Linked DNA regions of Canis lupus familiaris. The protein of the gene in region 1 purifies or fractionates together with the protein of each later gene. This does not show direct contact. Links are inferred from orthologs where the notes say so. Each region holds a gene or a part of one and is shown in the gene's direction. Other genes may lie near its edges.

Region 1 (3,751 bases):
CTGCAAAGGAGGTAGGAGTGGACATACTCACCATTTCTCCCAGGCCTGGCCTCCTCTGATTTTATAAGATGTGCCATCACGCTGATGCCGAGATCCTCCCTCTGCCATCCACGCTGGTGGGGACCCCTTTCTACCATCCACGCTGCTGTGGGGACCCCCCTCTGCCATCCACGCCGGTGTGTGGGGACCCCCCCTGCCATCCACGCTGGTGCGGGCACCGGGGACGCCCCCCACCCACACTGGTGCGGGGCCCCCCTCTACCATCCACGCTGCTGTGGGGACCCCCCTCTGCCATCCACGCCAGTGCGGGGACCCCCCTGCCATCCACGCTGATGCGGGGACCCCCCTGCCATCCACGCTGATGCGGGGAACCCCCCCCTCTGCCATCCACACTGATGCGGGGACCCCCTCTGCCATCCACTTCGGTGCGGGGACCCCCCCCGCCATCCACACTGATGCGGGGACCCCCCGCCATCCACTTCGGTGCGGGCACCGGGTCCCCCCCTGCCATCCGGCAGGTCTGACCGTGACCCCCCCCCGCCCCCGCCCCGCCCCCCGCGGACCCCGCCGGCCACCACCCCTACATGGACTGCGGGCTTCGGGAGGGAAGTTTTGGGTGCGGACAGAGAAGCCCTTTCAAAGAGCATCCGGTGCCGTGTGGCGGGAGGACGGGGCAGTCACTGCGACACCGACACCGCGGCCCCCTGCTCCCCAGGACCGTCCCGGGCGGGACGCGGGAAAGGCGCACGCAGGCGTCCGCGGGAGGTCAGACGGGAGACAAGTGCACGGCTTCTCCCCAGGACCCCGTCCTCCCCTCAACAGGTGTGACTTTTAAAGAAGGAGCCCTACGCGCCGGCACCTCCGCCTCGGGGTCCCCGCAGGGTGCACCGCACGCGGCCCCCCCCAGGTCCTCCAGGCCGGCTGGCGCTCTAGGCGGCCGCCTCGCAGGCGGGCCGGGCTCGCGTCTCTCTAGCTCGCTCGCTCTCTCTATGGTCCCTGCACCGCTTCCGGTGGCGGGCCTCGGGGCCGCGCACGCGGGAAAACCTTCCCGAGCGTCCCCCCGACCCCCTGTCCCCGCCCCCCCTCCCGCGTCCCCCAGCGCGCCCACCGCCCGCACCTGGGCCGTCGCGAGGCTGCCGCTCGAGGAGGTGGGTGGTCGCCGCCGCGTGCCCCGGGAGGCTGCGGGCCTCGCTCCCCCCCGCGGGCCGCCCGTGATGGGCCGTTCCGCGTTCGAATCCACGGGCGGCGGGCGAATCCATTTTAGGGGGCGGGGGGGGGCTTGGGCCCGGGGCCGCGGCGCGGCGGGAGCGCCGGGAGGGAAGCCTTGCCCTCGGAGCCGGGTCGCGAGCCGCAGAGGTGCAGCCCCCGGGGTTCCGCTGCTCGTTGCCATGGCGCCCGCTGGAGCGCCCCGAGCCGGCGTCTGGTCCCGCTGTAAGCGCGACTCCGGGCCGGGTTCCCCAGCCGCGGCTGGGCCTGGCTCCTGGAGGTTTGCAGGGCCTGCCGTGGGGTCCCTGGGAGACGAGATCCGGACACATCCCAGGTGCAGCCGGGCCTTGCCACCTGGCTCCATCCACGGGCTCAGGGAGGTGCTGCCTTTGATGTTTGTCTACCCACTCTCCCACCCCCCCCTTCTTGAATTCAGATTCCCAACCTGCTGAGTATCTGCACACCCACCCAGGAGTTGGGGCCCAGCTCCCAGTTGAGGCCAACAGGGGCTGATCAGAATGGCGGAAACACTGGAGTTCAACGACGTCTATCAGGAGGTGAAAGGCTCCATGGTAAGAAGGGCTTGGGCTTTTCGATAGGCTGAGAGATGGAAGGAGAGTAGGCTTTTTATCCATTATCCATGATGCTGCTATTTTGGAAAAGGAGTCCGAGTGGAATGTGTAGTTGGGTGTTTTCCCCAACAAAAGGCAATGCCTGCAGATCTCCCTACCGGGTCCAGTGGGGTCACGTGGCCAAAAACCCGTTGTAAGTCGAAAATACTGTTTGAGCAAAAAAAAAAAAAAAAAAAAAATCACAGTAATGTTTCTAACCCGATGAACAGGGCAGGTTAGTCTTACCCACTTTAAACAGGCCCAGAGTGTTTACGTTGGCGTGCGCTTCGGCGCAACCATCACAAGGTTTATTTTATGATTGAGTTTGGACACCTCATGTGGTTTATGAAATACCATCCTGAGAGTGAAACAGAATGAGTAGGGAATGGTTGGGTATCGGTTGTGGCCTGGTGGTGATCAACCCGGGTGACTGTGTGGCTGGCTGGGAGCTATGGTTCACTACCACTGCACCAGCGTCCTGAGGGGATTATATACCACCTGCTGCTAGCTCAGGAAAAGATACAGATTCAAATTATGGTTTCTGTTCGTTGCATATCGTTTCCACACCGTCATAAAGTTGAAAGGTTGTAAGTTGAGCCACCGTTATTCAAAAAGCATCTGTGTAGGAGTTAGAGGATTGCAGACTTTGAAAGGGACCGTCGTCGTGCGCTCCATTCCCCACTGCAGACTAAGGACCTGGTTACCAGGGTTTGGTTTTAGGATCCAGATTTCCAGGTTACTTTTTTTCTTCTTTCTGACCCTCACCCTTGCCAGCTGTTGGTCCTGTATCTGGATCTGGCCAGCCCGGTGTAGGTAGGTGTTGGGTGGGACTGTCTGTGCCCCGGACACAGTGTGTATTGTACCCTTGCATTTGGGCCTGTTTTTTCCAACAGAACGATGGTCGGCTAAGGTTGAGCCGCCAGGGTATCATCTTCAAGAACAGTAAGACGGGCAAAGTGGATAACATCCAGGCTGGGGAGCTGACGGAAGGCATCTGGCGCCGAGTCGCCCTGGGCCATGGACTTAAACTGCTTACAAAGAATGGCCACGTCTACAAGTATGACGGCTTCCGAGAATCGGTGAGGTGTCCTGTGGCCATAAACCCCCGTTTACTGTGCCACGTTGTTTATTTTTAATCTAGAAAGAGTTGGGGCTCCTTTGATGGCCGTGTAATTGCTAATTTTGGCTCCTTAGAGCAGGGCCATTGCGGCCATGAAGCACGGTTCAGCTTTGGATGTCTTGTGCTTTGACTCCAGAAGATTTTCTGTTATTGTGATGTTTTGGTGGTTTCTGCTCATTGCCTTTATCCAGATTCAGAGTCTTGGTACTTTAGTTTGAGTTTTTTTGTTTTAATGTTTCGACATGTTTGAGTTAAAGACAGTACTGCATTTGAATTTCACTTTCATCAAAGCACTGCCCACACAAAGTCAGAGAGCACGGTGAGGCACATAACCAGGAATGTCATTTCCATACTTTCCTCCTCCCCTGCTCTGACATCCAGTCCCCAGCAACAGCTTCTTTCAACAGTGGGTTTGCTGAAGGTATATCGGGGCAGTTTGTCAGAGAGAATCCCAGAATGTGTTAAGGCCACTGGGGCTTACAGGGATTGCTCTCTCCCCCTCTGCCCACAGGAGTTTGAGAAACTCTCTGATTTCTTCAAAACTCACTATCGCCTTGAGCTGATGGAGAAGGACCTCTGTGTGAAAGGCTGGAACTGGGGAACTGTGAAGTTTGGTGGTGAGTCCTGGGTAGACTGAAGTTTTCAGGAGAAGGTTGGATGAAGAGTTTCAGCCTTTACCTTGTTATGCTCTTTTTGTGCTACTGTTTCTGATTTCCTGTCAGTTTGTAACTCATCGCCTAGTTACTGAGGACTGGTAGCAGATGAGGCCTGGTCTTGCGGGTGCAGTGTGACCAAATAGCCCAGTGTCTGGCGG
Region 2 (3,751 bases), on another chromosome or scaffold:
CGACTTTACTAAATAATCCTAAACTACTTTCCAAAGTGGGTACCAAAGTGGGTATACCAATCTGCTTTCACCACGAGTATTAGAAAATGCCCATCAGTCCACCAACAAATGTCAAATTTTTGCTTTGTTAGTGAGTGTAGTTTGTTACAAACCAATCACTATGTTTTTTTTTTTTTTTTTAAGATTTTATTTATTCATGAGAGACACACACACAGAGAGAGAGAGAGAGAGGCAGAGACACAGGCAGAGGGAGAAGCAGGCTCCATGCAGGGAGCCCGACGGGGGACTCGATCCAGGGTCTCCAGGATCACAACCTGGGCTGAAGGCGGCGCTAAACTACTGGGCCACCGCGGCTGCCCAATACATTTTATTTTTTTAAATTACACTTCAGTGTTTGGGGTACAAGTAAATACATGGCATAGTAATTTTTAAAAGATTTTTTATTATTTATTTATTCATGAAAGACAGAGAGAGAAGCAGAGACACAGGCAGAGGGAGAAGCAGGCTCCATGCAGGGATCCCGACTTGGACTTGATCCCGGGTCTCCAGGATCACGCCCCGGGCTGAAGGCGGCGCTAAACGGCTGAGCCACCCGGGCTGCCCGGCTCTATGGTTTTCATGCAATCTCTGACTAGTAAGGAGCTTGAGCATCTCATGGTTATTAGCCATGTGGGTTTCTTCATTTTAAAAGCACTTTTCGGTTATTTTACCCATCTTCCATTGGGTTGTCTGTTCTTTAATAAAAGCTATGGGACACTAGCTTTTGTCAATCACCTGCATCATGGAAATTTTTTACCACTCTGTGGTTTTTCTTTCTTGATGATGTATTTTAAGGTCAGGCCTCGTGGCTTTACTTTTTTTTCGATTTAAATCTCGTCAGGTTCACCGATCTCTGGCTCCACGCCTTTTGTATCACGTATCCCAACGCACTGATCCTGAAGCGCGTTCACGCTACGCCACAAAGTTCTCGTCCTGCTGTTCACACGCGGGTCCCTGGCCCACCGCGTGCGGAGGCGCCCGTCACCCTCCCGCGGTACAGACGGCTGACGATTTCGCGAGCACACACTGCAGCACCGTCTTCCCCTCCATTTCGCAGCCTCTTCCGTCTTCCCTCTGGCGTCCGGTTCCCATCCAGGTCTTCCTTTATTCCAGAGTTTGATGCTCCGCTGACTCACTGATCCCCTGTACCACTCTCGAGTCCTTCGTTTGCGAACATTCACTACGCGGGAACAATGCCCCGCCGGCTTGTTTGTCCCGCGAACAACTGGCGGTCACTTCCTCAGCCTCCGAACACCCACAGCGACACGATCCCTCAGAAACCCCGCCCCGCGGACGCCAACGCCCGCCTTTTTCCTGAGGACGCAACACGCAGGCGTGGCCGGGCCCGGGCTCACGCGCCGCACAACGAACTGCGCCTGCGCCAGCAAACGCCCCGCCCCTCCTCCCCGGTCCTCTATAAAGCCTCGAGCTTCTCCTCGCGAGAGACTCCGTTCTCATGCTCGCTGCGGGGGTCGGAGGTCAGAGCGAGCGTCTCGCGGGCCGTAGGAGGAAGATGGCGGTGGAGTCGCGCGTTACCCAGGAGGAAATTAAGAAGGAGCCGGAGAAACCGATCGATCGGGAGAAAGTATGGGATCCGGAGAGAGGTGGAGGTGGGCCCGGCGGGGCGGAGAGCGCGGCCTGCGTGCAGGAAGCGGCAGTGTTTGCTCCCCGGGCTGTAAGAGGCCGCGACGCCTCCGGAGGGAAAGGGAGCCCCGGACCCGAGCCGCTTTCTTTAACTTCTGCCCTCCTTTTCCTCCTCTGCTCCCAGACGTGCCCGCTGCTGCTGCGTGTTTTCACCACCAATAACGGCCGCCACCACCGAATGGACGAGTTTTCCCGCGGAAACGTGCCGTCCAGCGAGCTCCAGATCTACACTTGGTGAGAGCGCGGGGTCCGCGGGGGCGGGACCCGGGGGGTGGTCGGGCATTAACACAGTAATTCCCTCCGTGGCTCCGCTTCCTCCCCTTCCGGGTCCTTGGGCCCGGCTCTCAGAAAGTTGGAAGTTTTAGTTGTTAGGTAAAAGGGGATTCTCCCATCTTGTAATACAATTAAGCTTCATGTTCAAACTTTTGGGTTGTGAAGAACTGACGCACCCAGGATTGCTATCACTGTTGTGGCTGCTTGGTATAAAAATACACGTAGATAAATAAAATGCAGTAGCTGCCCTGAAGGGGCCCGTAGTCAACTAAATGGTACTAGAATTACATAGTAAAGTAAATCCTCAAGAGCATTTCTGTGAAATATTAAGCCTTCAATGCTATAGTATTAAAAAAGGAAATCAGCAAAAACCCAACTGATTTCTGATCTGGTGCTTAATGGAAAAGCTTTTAATGTGTGTTTCGTGAAGACCTGCCCCTGAATGTTTATGTGTACCTTCTCTACCCCTAAGTCTTTCTTAGGGCCATTACATGTTGTAAGCATATTTTTAGAGCTGCATATGTTTCCTTAGTTTGACATCATAATGGCTGTGTAGTAGCAGTAAAAAGTTAAGTGTTAAATATATATCTTTATTATATAACGTTAAATTTGCTATTATAATTCTTAAATGTATGATTCAGTTGCATCAGTTATATTCGCATTGTGCAACTATTACCTATTACCAAAACTTTTTCCCCCTCCTTGGCAGAAGTTACCCAGTAAGCAGTAATTTTCCATTCCTTTCTTCCCCGATAGACTCTAATCTAGTTTATATCTATATGAATTTGCCCAGTCTAGGTATTTCACACAAGTGTTGTGTTTGGCTTATTTCAGTGTGACATTTACAAGGTTCATCCATGTTGTAGCACATTCTTTTTTATGTGCACACAACTTCATTTTTTTTTTATGGCTTAATATTTTAATGTATGGATATACCACGTTTTGTCTGTCCACTTTTCTGTTGATAGGTACTTGAGTTTCCATTTTTTTGGCTTTTGTGAATAATGTTGCTATGAACCTGGGTATGCACATATCGTTTGAATCCTTTTGGGTATATTCCCAGAAATAGGATTGCTGGATCATAACATTATTACATGTTTAACTTTTTAAGGAATAAGGAAATAACAAGCTGGTTTTCACAGCAGCTGCACCATTTTACAGCCCCAGAGAGTGTGTAATTTTAAACTGTGAGTCCAGCACTCACTCCTTTAAAGACTGGGACCGTAATTGTCTTTGTGTTGGTATTGGTTAAAGTTATGTAATATGATTTTAGTTCAGCATCATTCCAGGATAAAAGCTCCAGGAAGGTTGATTTAACTTACAAGAAAGAACTGTTACTAATGTATTGATGAAAACTCTGTTCGGGATTGAAGTGTATACTTCTCCAGGCATCAGAGTTCTATTTGCTAGGTGCTGTGCTTAGATTTTGAGGGTATGAAGTAAAGAAGGTACTGCCCCTCCACGCAGTCAGCTCAGCCTACTGGAGAAAGCAGATGAATAAATGCTAATTAGGTAAGACTTAAGGGTGAAGATAGCAGAGTGAGATTGTTCCAAAGATCCTTTACTCCTAATCCAGAAAAAAAATTACGTAAAAATTCTGCCCAAAACTGTCCTATCCCTAAACTGCAACCAAATAAGGAAAAGCAACTTATGTTATACCTTAAAATGATGGTCAAAGACAAAAATTCTGAAAGACTTGTGGTTGGTGTGACAGCACAGAGTCCTGCCCCCTTTTCCAGAAACAGTACTGAAGGAAGATTAGTTAACAAATCTTGGGAATTCTCAATTTGTAGAA
Region 3 (2,267 bases), on another chromosome or scaffold:
CCATCCCTGCGGCCTCCCAAAGTGGGATACTGTGCTTTTTATGCAGTTATCCACCACTCGGACTCTCGAGGAATATGTTGGGCCTGGGGATAGAACCCTGGCTGGGGAGAGGGACACAGGCTCGAAGATCACTTGATTATTTGACCATAAATTAAGTATTCTGATTCGTAAGAGCAGATTGGGGGGCCAGGTGCTCCCAGTGGTGACAATAAAGTGTTGTCTTTTTCTTGGTGTTCCTGTAAGTATATTTTGGGCATTTTAGGGTAGATCGGGAGGATTGGTGGAGGTACCTCCTCCAAGAGGATGCCTATCCCTCTGCCCATCTTTTTTCTTTCAGCACAGTGGGCTCCTTGTAACAAGAAGTCAACAGAAAGAACAGACCAAATAGAACATGTTGAATAAGCCCTGAAATCCTCATACTTCAGGTGGCAGGGAGAGCCCTAAGATTGGACTTGCCTGTTCTCTGGTGCCGAACAGAAGTTTTTAGGGGGAGCAGCGGGAGGGGTTCCCATTTCTTCCCTCTCTCATTTCCCTCTGCAGGATGGGAGGAGGGAGAAAGGAGAGAAGAATGACCAGACCAGGAAGGGAAGGGAGTGGTGTCGACCCCGTTCCTTTAAAAATCCCGGGCCCGCACCGGTTTCCCAGAGGCCCTCGAGGTGGCCCAGACTCCACCCTCTTTGCCTTCCGGTTCTGGGCTCCAGCTGTAGCGTTTAAATCTGGCGCCCTTCGCAAGGATTGGCTACATCGGGGAGGGGTTGGCCGGCTGCGTGCTACCACTCCTCCTCGCCTTTTTCCCCGGGCAAAAGGTTTTCAAATCGGACCAATCGGCGGGCGCGCTGCCTCGGCCGTGGCGCGTCACTGAAGGGTTAACTGCAACCAACCGGAGGCGGGTACCCGAGGAGAGAGCCAATCAGGAGGGCGCGGAGGTGTGCCCTGGGGGCTTATAAGGCCGGCCCCTGGGCGCGCGCGGCAGCAGTTGGACTGCGGCGGGCGGCTGTTCGTTGCCCCCTTCGAGGCGTCCCTCTTCACAGCTCTTCTACCTCGCGCAGCATGTCGGGCCGCGGCAAGACCGGCGGCAAGGCCCGCGCCAAGGCCAAGTCGCGCTCGTCGCGCGCCGGCCTCCAGTTCCCCGTGGGCCGCGTGCACCGGCTGCTGCGGAAGGGCCACTACGCCGAGCGGGTGGGCGCCGGCGCGCCGGTGTACCTGGCGGCCGTGCTCGAGTACCTGACGGCCGAGATCCTGGAGCTGGCGGGCAACGCGGCCCGCGACAACAAGAAGACGCGCATCATCCCCCGCCACCTGCAGCTGGCCATCCGCAACGACGAGGAGCTCAACAAGCTGCTGGGCGGCGTGACGATCGCGCAGGGAGGCGTCCTGCCCAACATCCAGGCCGTGCTGCTGCCCAAGAAGACCAGCGCCACCGTGGGGCCGAAGGCGCCTGCGGGCGGCAAGAAGGCCACGCAGGCCTCTCAGGAGTACTGAGGGGCGCCCGCGCCGCAGCCGGCCCCCATGCCACCACAAAGGCCCTTTTAAGGGCCACCACCGCCCTCACGGAAAGAGCTGAGCCACGTCGGGCTCGGGGCGGGCGGCCGCGGCGCTCGGCTCCCCCCCGCCGCGTCGTCACCGCCGCCGCCGCCGCCCGGCCCGCCCCTCCCCCGCGCGGGCTCGCCTGCCCTCGCTCCCGCCGCCTCCCGGCCGGAGGGCCGCCCGCTCGCCCGGCGCAGGGGCCCGGAGGGGGCCGGGGGCGCGCCGCTGCCCGCCGCGGCGCCAGTGACTCAGCCGCCCGGGCCGCGCTGAGGGCCGCGGGGAGGGCCGCGGGGAGGCCGCGGCGCCGCCTGGAAGAGCCGCTCGGCGCGCTGACGCAGGGCTGAGGTACGCGCCGGGGCCGGGCCGGGCCGGGACTCTCCGGACGCCGCGGTGCGGGGACGACCCGTCACTGTCCGCCCTGCCGCCCCCTCGGCTCGGGCCGAACGCGTCCGCGGGGACCTGCCACCAGGGGGGGAGGGGCGGTGCGCCCCGCGGGCCCCGGGACTGCAGGAGGCGCGCGCCCGCGAACCCCGCCGCCCGGCCCGCTCTCTCCGGCGACCGCTCCGCGGGCCTCGCACCTCCGTACCAGCACCGGCCCGACCGTCCCCATCTGCACTGAGCCTCCGACAGCTTCGGAACTGGAATTTTGCAGCTATCCCCATCCAAGACTAGGACCCTACAGATTGAGGAGTTTCAGATGGACTAATTTTGTTTATTAAAGGATTGTTTTTTTAAAAACG

What was found.
Region 2: the proteins of SSRP1 (region 1) and SAP18 fractionate together in Homo sapiens (co-fractionation; 3 studies listed by BioGRID and IntAct, with this or other methods). This does not show direct contact. The link is inferred for Canis lupus familiaris from reciprocal best matches to the Homo sapiens genes SSRP1 and SAP18.
Region 3: the proteins of SSRP1 (region 1) and H2AX purify together in Homo sapiens (affinity purification with mass spectrometry; 4 studies listed by BioGRID and IntAct, counting the BioPlex papers as one, with this or other methods). This does not show direct contact. The link is inferred for Canis lupus familiaris from reciprocal best matches to the Homo sapiens genes SSRP1 and H2AX.

What each region holds. Positions count from the first base shown.
Region 1 is NC_049239.1:39,269,475-39,273,225, forward strand, and holds the start of SSRP1 (FACT complex subunit SSRP1), read left to right. Parts: upstream 1-1,014; 5' UTR 1,015-1,148; intron 1,149-1,307; exon of another isoform or gene 1,308-1,540; intron 1,541-1,642; 5' UTR 1,643-1,724; coding exon 1,725-1,778; intron 1,779-2,710; coding exon 2,711-2,896; intron 2,897-3,448; coding exon 3,449-3,554; intron 3,555-3,751. UniProt on the Homo sapiens protein: Component of the FACT complex, a general chromatin factor that acts to reorganize nucleosomes. The FACT complex is involved in multiple processes that require DNA as a template such as mRNA elongation, DNA replication and DNA repair.
Region 2 is NC_049246.1:17,090,574-17,094,324, reverse strand, and holds the start of SAP18 (histone deacetylase complex subunit SAP18), read left to right. Parts: upstream 1-1,445; 5' UTR 1,446-1,495; coding exon 1,496-1,624; intron 1,625-1,807; coding exon 1,808-1,917; intron 1,918-3,751. UniProt on the Homo sapiens protein: Component of the SIN3-repressing complex. Enhances the ability of SIN3-HDAC1-mediated transcriptional repression. When tethered to the promoter, it can direct the formation of a repressive complex to core histone proteins.
Region 3 is NC_049226.1:14,790,852-14,793,118, forward strand, and holds H2AX (histone H2AX), read left to right. Parts: upstream 1-947; 5' UTR 948-1,050; coding exon 1,051-1,482; 3' UTR 1,483-1,639; downstream 1,640-2,267. UniProt on the Homo sapiens protein: Variant histone H2A which replaces conventional H2A in a subset of nucleosomes. Nucleosomes wrap and compact DNA into chromatin, limiting DNA accessibility to the cellular machineries which require DNA as a template.